2 linked regions of the Schizosaccharomyces pombe genome follow. Changing the gene in region 2 together with the main gene of any one other region gives a genetic interaction. Each region holds a gene or a part of one and is shown on either strand. Other genes may lie near its edges.

Evidence for each region.
Region 1: mutations in mrf1 (region 2) and xap5 together harm fitness less than expected from each alone (positive genetic interaction), as found in Schizosaccharomyces pombe (one large-scale study listed by BioGRID).

What each region holds. Positions count from the first base shown.
Region 1 is NC_003421.2:753,166-756,808, reverse strand, and holds xap5 (splicing factor, xap-5-like protein), read right to left. Parts: upstream 1,558-3,643; 5' UTR 1,553-1,557; coding exon 1,404-1,552; exon of another isoform or gene 1,341-1,403; coding exon 623-1,340; 3' UTR 519-622; downstream 1-518. Other genes in the region: SPOM_SPCC1020.13C (DDHD family phospholipase), read right to left, coding at 2,178-2,674, 2,716-3,456, 3,520-3,643.
Region 2 is NC_003424.3:568,591-572,456, reverse strand, and holds mrf1 (peptide chain release factor), read right to left. Parts: upstream 2,290-3,866; 5' UTR 2,222-2,289; coding exon 2,051-2,221; exon of another isoform or gene 1,909-2,050; coding exon 1,810-1,908; exon of another isoform or gene 1,724-1,809; intron 1,705-1,723; exon of another isoform or gene 1,573-1,704; coding exon 652-1,572; 3' UTR 581-651; downstream 1-580. Other genes in the region: putatiRho-type GTPase-activating protein Rga8, read left to right, coding at 1-463; phospholipase D Pld1, read left to right, coding at 3,180-3,866.

The sequences.
Region 1 (3,643 bases), on a different chromosome or scaffold from region 2:
GCGACATGCTTATACTTCCAAGAGAACGAAAAGCGAATTTCATTTCTTATTTACAATAGAATAGTTATTCTCATCATTCAGTCACGATCACTTTTTTCTTTACCAAAAATTGTATACCTAAATAGCACAGTATAATCCACCGCAAATTAACGTATCGTTAATATGTTTATGATCAAATACTATGTATTTGCATACCAACGCTGCGATACATTAAATAAAAACAAGCAGAAATATGAGAATTCAATAATAAAGGAAACATTTAATAATTCCAAAAGCGAATTGCTAATTTTTTAATTACTTTATTTTACAATATCCTATAGCACATCAATGAAATCAAGGTTTTCAGTCAAGGTTGGAGTGATGTTGAGAGTAGTAAGTGTAAATACTAAAACCCATTGCGAATACTTAGTGGATAATATCTGTTTCTTTTTTACCAAAGTCTCTCTCTTTGTATAGCTTATCAAGTTATATGTTTGGCGCAATTCATTTGTTTAAAATACAAACATAAAAACAATATAGTTGTAATGAAATTGTTATTAAATTAGTCGATGAGGGAAGTATGAGTATGCAAAACAAAAATAAAGAACCAAGAGAAAAAAAATCGAAAACTTTTTAAAAGGCATTATGAGGGCCGGTAAAATAATGCAGCGTTAGGATCAGTTGCATGCTTTTCCAATGAATAATCTTTTCGAGAATCAAAGACTTCCCAATGCACACATGGAAACACATGGCGATTTTGTAAATAATATGATTTTTGAACTAGATGAGGAATGCATTGAGAAGGAAGTTGTGTAGTTGCAACCATTTCTGGACTAGAGCATGACAGCTTATCAAAGTCAAATAAAAGTCCATCACGTCCTTGAACTTTATTAATGTAAAAGTAGTAAAGCTCATGGTGATGGGGAATGATTAAATCAGATTGAACCAGTAAAAATTTATCCATATCCAGAATCCTCTTCAAAAATGGGATTTGCTGTTTCATATCAGCAAGAAAGTGTCCAACCGAATCTTTCAATCTAGTCCTTACATGATAAGTGGTACTTGTTCCATCGTAATAGATAAATGGTATCAAAATCTCTTTTTCCCGAATTTGCTCCTGCTCTTTTAGCCATTGTTTGCGATATTCGGCTCGCTTCGCGTTTTCACGTATTTCTCGCTCTGCATCTGGCAAAAAGGAGGTATCCGCAGATGGATCCTTTCCCATAAACATTTTTTTCTCAACTTTTTTTAAAGGTAGATCATCATTCTCCAGTTCTTCATCTTCACCAAAAGAAAGTTTTCCTTTGTTAACTTTAATGCCCTGTTTGACCTTTTTGCTTAAAGCATCTTTTCTCTTTTTTCTAAAATTGAATTGTCAGTCATATTTAGAATACTATCGGGCTTTTCTCGTTCTTTTCACTTACATTTTAGTACTTGTGGTTGATAGCGCATGTTTCTCTCGTTTTTCAACGATGTTTTGTTTTACTCTTTGATAATCCTTTAAATGGACTAAACCAGTCGTACTATTTCGTAAAATCTCATGAATTTCATCGGCATCAGTATGGCCGCTCATTGTATGAAGAATTCAAAAAAACGTGAGTGGTGAGCGTTCTTCCAAATAAGCTTGAATACCCAAAATACCCTTTTTTTGCCTCGGTTTTCAAATCTCAAAATGAAAGAAATGACTATTACTATATTTATCGTAGAAGAAGAACATGTTTTTTACATTTACCTATGAGGGATCCTAGAATAAACGCACACTTTGCCAAAGTCACGTTGCATATAAGTTTTTTATATTTGTCAAAACGGTTATTAAATAGAATAACAACGAGGTGGGGCACTTTGAAGCATTCTGTAATCTTTAACTGCTTGTATAGACACTTTTTAAAACCAATCTAGAGACAAATAAAACGAATTACTCGTTTGTATTAACAAGCTTTGGAAAAATAGCAATAGATTAAAAACAAAAAAAAAACTAGCTAATCACTAGTGTTGCTATAAATACTCTAATAAATTTTCGTATCTGGTCATTGAATGCAAAACCATCTTTCGAATGCCAATATATAAAGTCATTAAAGTGATCCTAAAAAATCATCATTATCCAATGTTCATCAAATTCATTTTAATTTGTCCACTTCGCATCGCTAATAAATATGAAGCTCGCTGGTATACTGTCAGATAAAATAAAAAGAAAATTTTCAAGAGCTGTCCCCTTTGAATATACGTGGCATATGCTTTCCACGAAATTGCTCAATTGAATTGGCAATACCAAAGTTTCGGCCAGTTTCCACTACTAAAAAGCAAGCAAGATCCTCACTACTCCAGTAACTGCTATGAGCCGAAAGCATAGAAAGATATTTGTTTGAAATGACCCCATGGGCACTCGTAAATACGTAGTCCAACTGAGAGTTTTCATTCAACTCTTGCATGCGCCACTTGGCCCTTTCTTCTCTGCGAAAATTGCGAGTCTCTAACTCGACAGTCTGTTCAGGCTCCAGTGGGACCACTGCTGTGGGCTCATTGTTTTTATTTTGCTGCAAAGATTGATTGTAACTTCGAAGTTCCACAGGATCAGTATTAGAATGTGAGATCATTCTCAAAATACTTGAAGATTTTCTTGTGAACAGTATACGAGTTGGGTGGATGCCTTTCGAAAATGAGAGATCCACTGTGGGATTTAATCGCATCGCAACGGCTAATTTGTTAGTAAATACGATAATTTAATGATGCGCTTACGATCAAGGTGATTATAGATGTTATAAAAAGAGTCGACTGCGAGACATCCGTACCGATCATAACCATCGTAAGTATATGACTTTGGAACATCAGAATTTATAAAGTTTTTATTTATTTCGTATCTTGATGAGCCTCTTCCACGACGAGGAATAATACTTTGTTGATTCAAATGCAAAAAAAAACCTACCGGACCACCAAAACAAAAAAAACCGTTTGTGTCGAATATAAAGCAGCTTTCATCATCGTCTATAGTAATTTCTTTGACAAAAGTGGGTTGAAGTGACAAAATATCAAAAACAACTGTGGAGCCCAAAGAATGCCCAATTATAAAGATACGGCCCTTGTTTTCTAAAAAGTAAGGATTGCAGTCCTTCCACAAATGGTAAACCCTATTAGCTTCACGAATTACAGACTTTATAATGGATTCTTTGTGATGAGACATATAATAGGGAATATCACTCATCACATCTCCTAATAACCTTCGCACCGCTGGAATGCTATCAATTTCAATATCCTCAATTGAAAATCGATTTTCTTCAAATTCTTCATCCTCAACCCGTCCTTCATCACCGGCAACTGGCTTTATATATGAATTAAAATTAAGCTTATTTCTCCAACATATCGGAAGAAGTTGTGGTTCATAATCGTTTCGAATCAACGGATCCTCTTTCATTATGTTTTTCTGAATTTGGATCAATGAACGAAAAACGTTGCACGTCTTGGTAAATAAGAATCGTTCCTCTATATTGTCAACATTAGTAATTGAATGCCGGTGTAAGATAAAAAAAAATCAAGTTTACTTACCAGTCTCTGATCTTTTTTGACCGATACCATGAACCACCAAAAAAAGATCTGTAACTTGTTTAGGTCCATTAAAACCATCATCTTCAAAGTAAGGAAAATCTCGAACGACCGGCATACCTTTAAT
Region 2 (3,866 bases):
ATGGAATTTGGGTATTCAACATGATAAGCACCCAACGAAGTTCATGGAGGATCTTTTAACTTACGGACCAAGTATTTTTGAAGAACTCAGAAAATTGAATTCATCCAAACGTGTTTCTGACCGTGTATTATATCAATCTTCTGCTACTCCTCGGAGTACAGATGTATCACCAACTAGACCAGACTCCATTTCTTCTGTCCGATCTCATACTGCTGTCGAATCTCCAAGATCTTCGTTTGAGGAGCTGCAACCTTCAGAAATTCCCGCTGAATCTGAATTTACTCTTGAAAATGTGCCCACCTCATTGATCAGATCGTCGTATGCCTTGAATACTAGAAAGACAAGACGTAATTTCAGCCATTCTTCTGCTTCCAATGAAAGTGCCGCAATCTTTATTGATCAGGATGCAAAGATAGTGAACGAAGCAGTCGCCTCAAGAGATTCCAGTTTAAGTGGTAGTTAAAAATATGTTATTATGAGTTAACCTATGATCTTTTTTAAAGATCAGTTATGGATATCTTATTTGCATGACATGTTGCACATTCTTTTCTCATTATTCATTGCATATACCTAATAAACATTTTTCTCTATAGAAGTTTGACCACCATATATTATTGTACCTTCCTATTTTACTAGACTAAATTAGCATTCCTATACTATTTCAGAGTGTAATAGCAACTGTTCACGATTCCATATTCTTATTTTTTCCAAAAACTCGTCAAATTTTTCTTCACCTTGCATAAATGTTGATAAATCGTGCATGCTTAAACCTATCCGATGATCAGTTACTCGATTTTGGTTGAAGTTATAAGTTCGTAGCTTTTCCGAACGATCTGAAGACGTTACTTGATTTTTACGTTTCAGTCTTTCAGCCTCATTTTCTTTTGCGGCATTTAAGGCAGCCAATCTTGAATTCAGTACAAGAAATGCCTTTTCTTTGTTTTGATGCTGAGAACGAGAATCTTGCATGCTAACAGTGATACCAGTGGGTATGTGTGTTAAACGTACGGCGGATTCTGTTCTATTAACGTGTTGTCCACCGGCTCCACGAGATCTCATTACTTCGATTTTAACTTCAGATGAATCGTAAAGAGAAGAGGATTCATCATTTGACACCTGAGGTAAAACGATTACTGATGCAGTACTCGTATGAACTCTTCCTTTAGTTTCGGTAGCAGGAGTCCTCTGAACCCTATGAACACCTCCTTCCAACATAAGATGACCATAAGCTCCCTCACCTTCAATAGAGAAGATGGCCTCCGTTATCGCTTCAAGTCCTTGGACTGCACTTTTTGATATAAATTTGCAATTCCATCCTTTAAAATTTGCATACTGAAAATACATTTCCACTAGTTCATTTGCAAATATTGCGGCCTCTGTTCCTCCTACACCAGGACGAATTTCGATTAATGCAGGAAGAGCATATGAATCAGCTTGTGGAAGTAATGTGTTTTCAAGATCTTCTATGCTTTTTGGTATTTTATTACTTATTTCGTTTATTTCAGTCACTGCCATCATTTTAACCTCTGCATCTGACTCTTGGGCCTCCATTTGTTTCAAATCGCTTATTTGCTAAATTGTTAGAATTTTTTTAAATCAAGGTTTTCAAAAACTAGTTATTTAAGTATTTCAACATGCTCATCAAATAGCTTTACTTAGATAAACAGTAAATGCCTGGCAAAAGTCTTAAGTTATAGACCCATTAGCAAAAAAAAACCATTGTAAATCGATTACTATAAATAGGAAGAGTAATAAAAAAAAGGAAAGCTTTTGACTACAAGTTTGAGACAAATTCGTCTTATATCATACCTCAGACAAACTTTTAAATTTCGAATATGCATTATGAACGCGTCGAAGCCTAGCGATTCGCTTTGCTAAATCTGTATCGTTTGTCATTGCCGATTGATCCTAAAAGATATAAGTTAGATCATTTATATCAGATTTTAATTTTTCATGAGTAAAGCTTAATGTCCGGTATGCTTGTATTACCATTATTATTGTATCTCGAACAGTAGCAGGCTGATTTCACACTTTGTTTGCCGACACTTACTTTATTATTTACTTGATGGAATTGAAGATACTCTGAAGAAAGCGATCGGGCTTTTTCAATAAGTACTCTTGAAACGTTATGCTCAGAGTATCCTTTTTTGCAAGCAATGCTACGAATTTGATATTCAATTCCATGTCTAAAGTACCATAAAACTTTTTTAGTTAGAAGCATCACCTTGTATTTTGAGTTTCTTTTATTTCTGCATACTCAAAGAATTAGCAGTAAAACTAATTAGTGTTAACCTGTTAAAACCGCCTTTCTGACCTTGGTGTGCTTCTTCGATAAGTACTTTTATGATATTTAAGGAGGTCCTTGCAAATTCTGTCGGATATGCATTATAATCCGACAGTGCACAGCAAAGTAAAATTTTGTGTACGCATTCTTAACTCGTAAATTTTTTTTACGAATCTATACACCTAGAAAGAGTTTGCTATTATTTTATGAGTAGAGTCGCCACGAATACAGTTATAATTAATTTGGCTAGCAATAACTATGCTGCATAGTATAATAATCAGGGAATTGAGGAACGTAGGCACATTGTTTATAATAGCATAATACGCAAATATCTAAGTCTCATGTAGGGCATTTGTGTAGCTTTTTGCTGTATTAACGACTTTGAAAGTGGAAACGTAAATCAATATAGTGGTATTTAACATAGTGCAATAATAATTTAGTGAGGAATAGCTGACAACTAGTAGAGATATGTATTGTTAATTTTGATAAGCTAATGTAAGTTGAGCTGAACAAACTCTTGCTCGACGATTACAATAAAAGGGAGACGAACTCTTCAAGAAAAAATAATTTGGTTGTAGGAAGCATCGATATCCATTGGACAAATACCATTAAACTACACAATAGCGATGTAAATAAACATTTGTATTGTTCATAAAGTTTCCTTATTTATGCTAGCGCAGTTAAACGAAACTTTAACCAAGCTTTCATGATGGTGTATTATTCATTTTGAAATGCGCAGCTAAGCTTTACCAAACCACTTAAACTGTTTTTGGGATTTGTTCAATAAAGCCCTCTTGGCTTTTACTCATTTATAAAGCATTGGCTTTTCTCCATAGGGACTTGGATTTCCCTGAGTCTCAAAAAAACTTTAGCCAATTGCTAATTTAATAACAAAATGACAATTCATCAAGGTGGAAATTCAGTGATTGATAATGTACCTTATTCGTTAAACACAAATGTAAATGATAGCATCTACTCTGAAAAGGGGACAGGACGGAAAGATGCAGAAGATCACACACCATCCAAAATTACAGATCTTGAAAAAAACGTCGACCATTCTATTCCATCGTTTCCTGAGAATGATCCAAAAAACTACTCTGAATTTGTTAATTTAAATCCTCCAAAACGGCCCGATTTGGAACACACCCGGGGGTCTTCTTGGCATACAGCCTCTGAAAACGTTAACGATCTTGCTGCGAATGATAGTACAAGAGTGCAAACTCCAGAATTTATCACACAGACAATGGAGGATGAGAACGTTGAAGTTCCTCCTTTAGAGAGAGACGAACGTGATGCAGCTGCTGCCCATACAAGTAAGGCAAACCGTAATTCTGCCAGACAAATGTGGGCACAATTAATGGCTTCTGTTCGCAAATTTAAAAGGGAAGATGAAAAGCCTATATTAAAGGAGAACTTGCCTGCTATTAATCTTTTCGAAGCAGGCATACCTGCATCTTTACCTATAGCCAAGCATTTTATTCGAGATAAATCTGGGCAGCCGGTATTGCCTATTATTACCGACCTAATAAAGGTCTCAGTGCTTGATGTGGAGCCTAAACATAATCGCATACACAGTACTTTC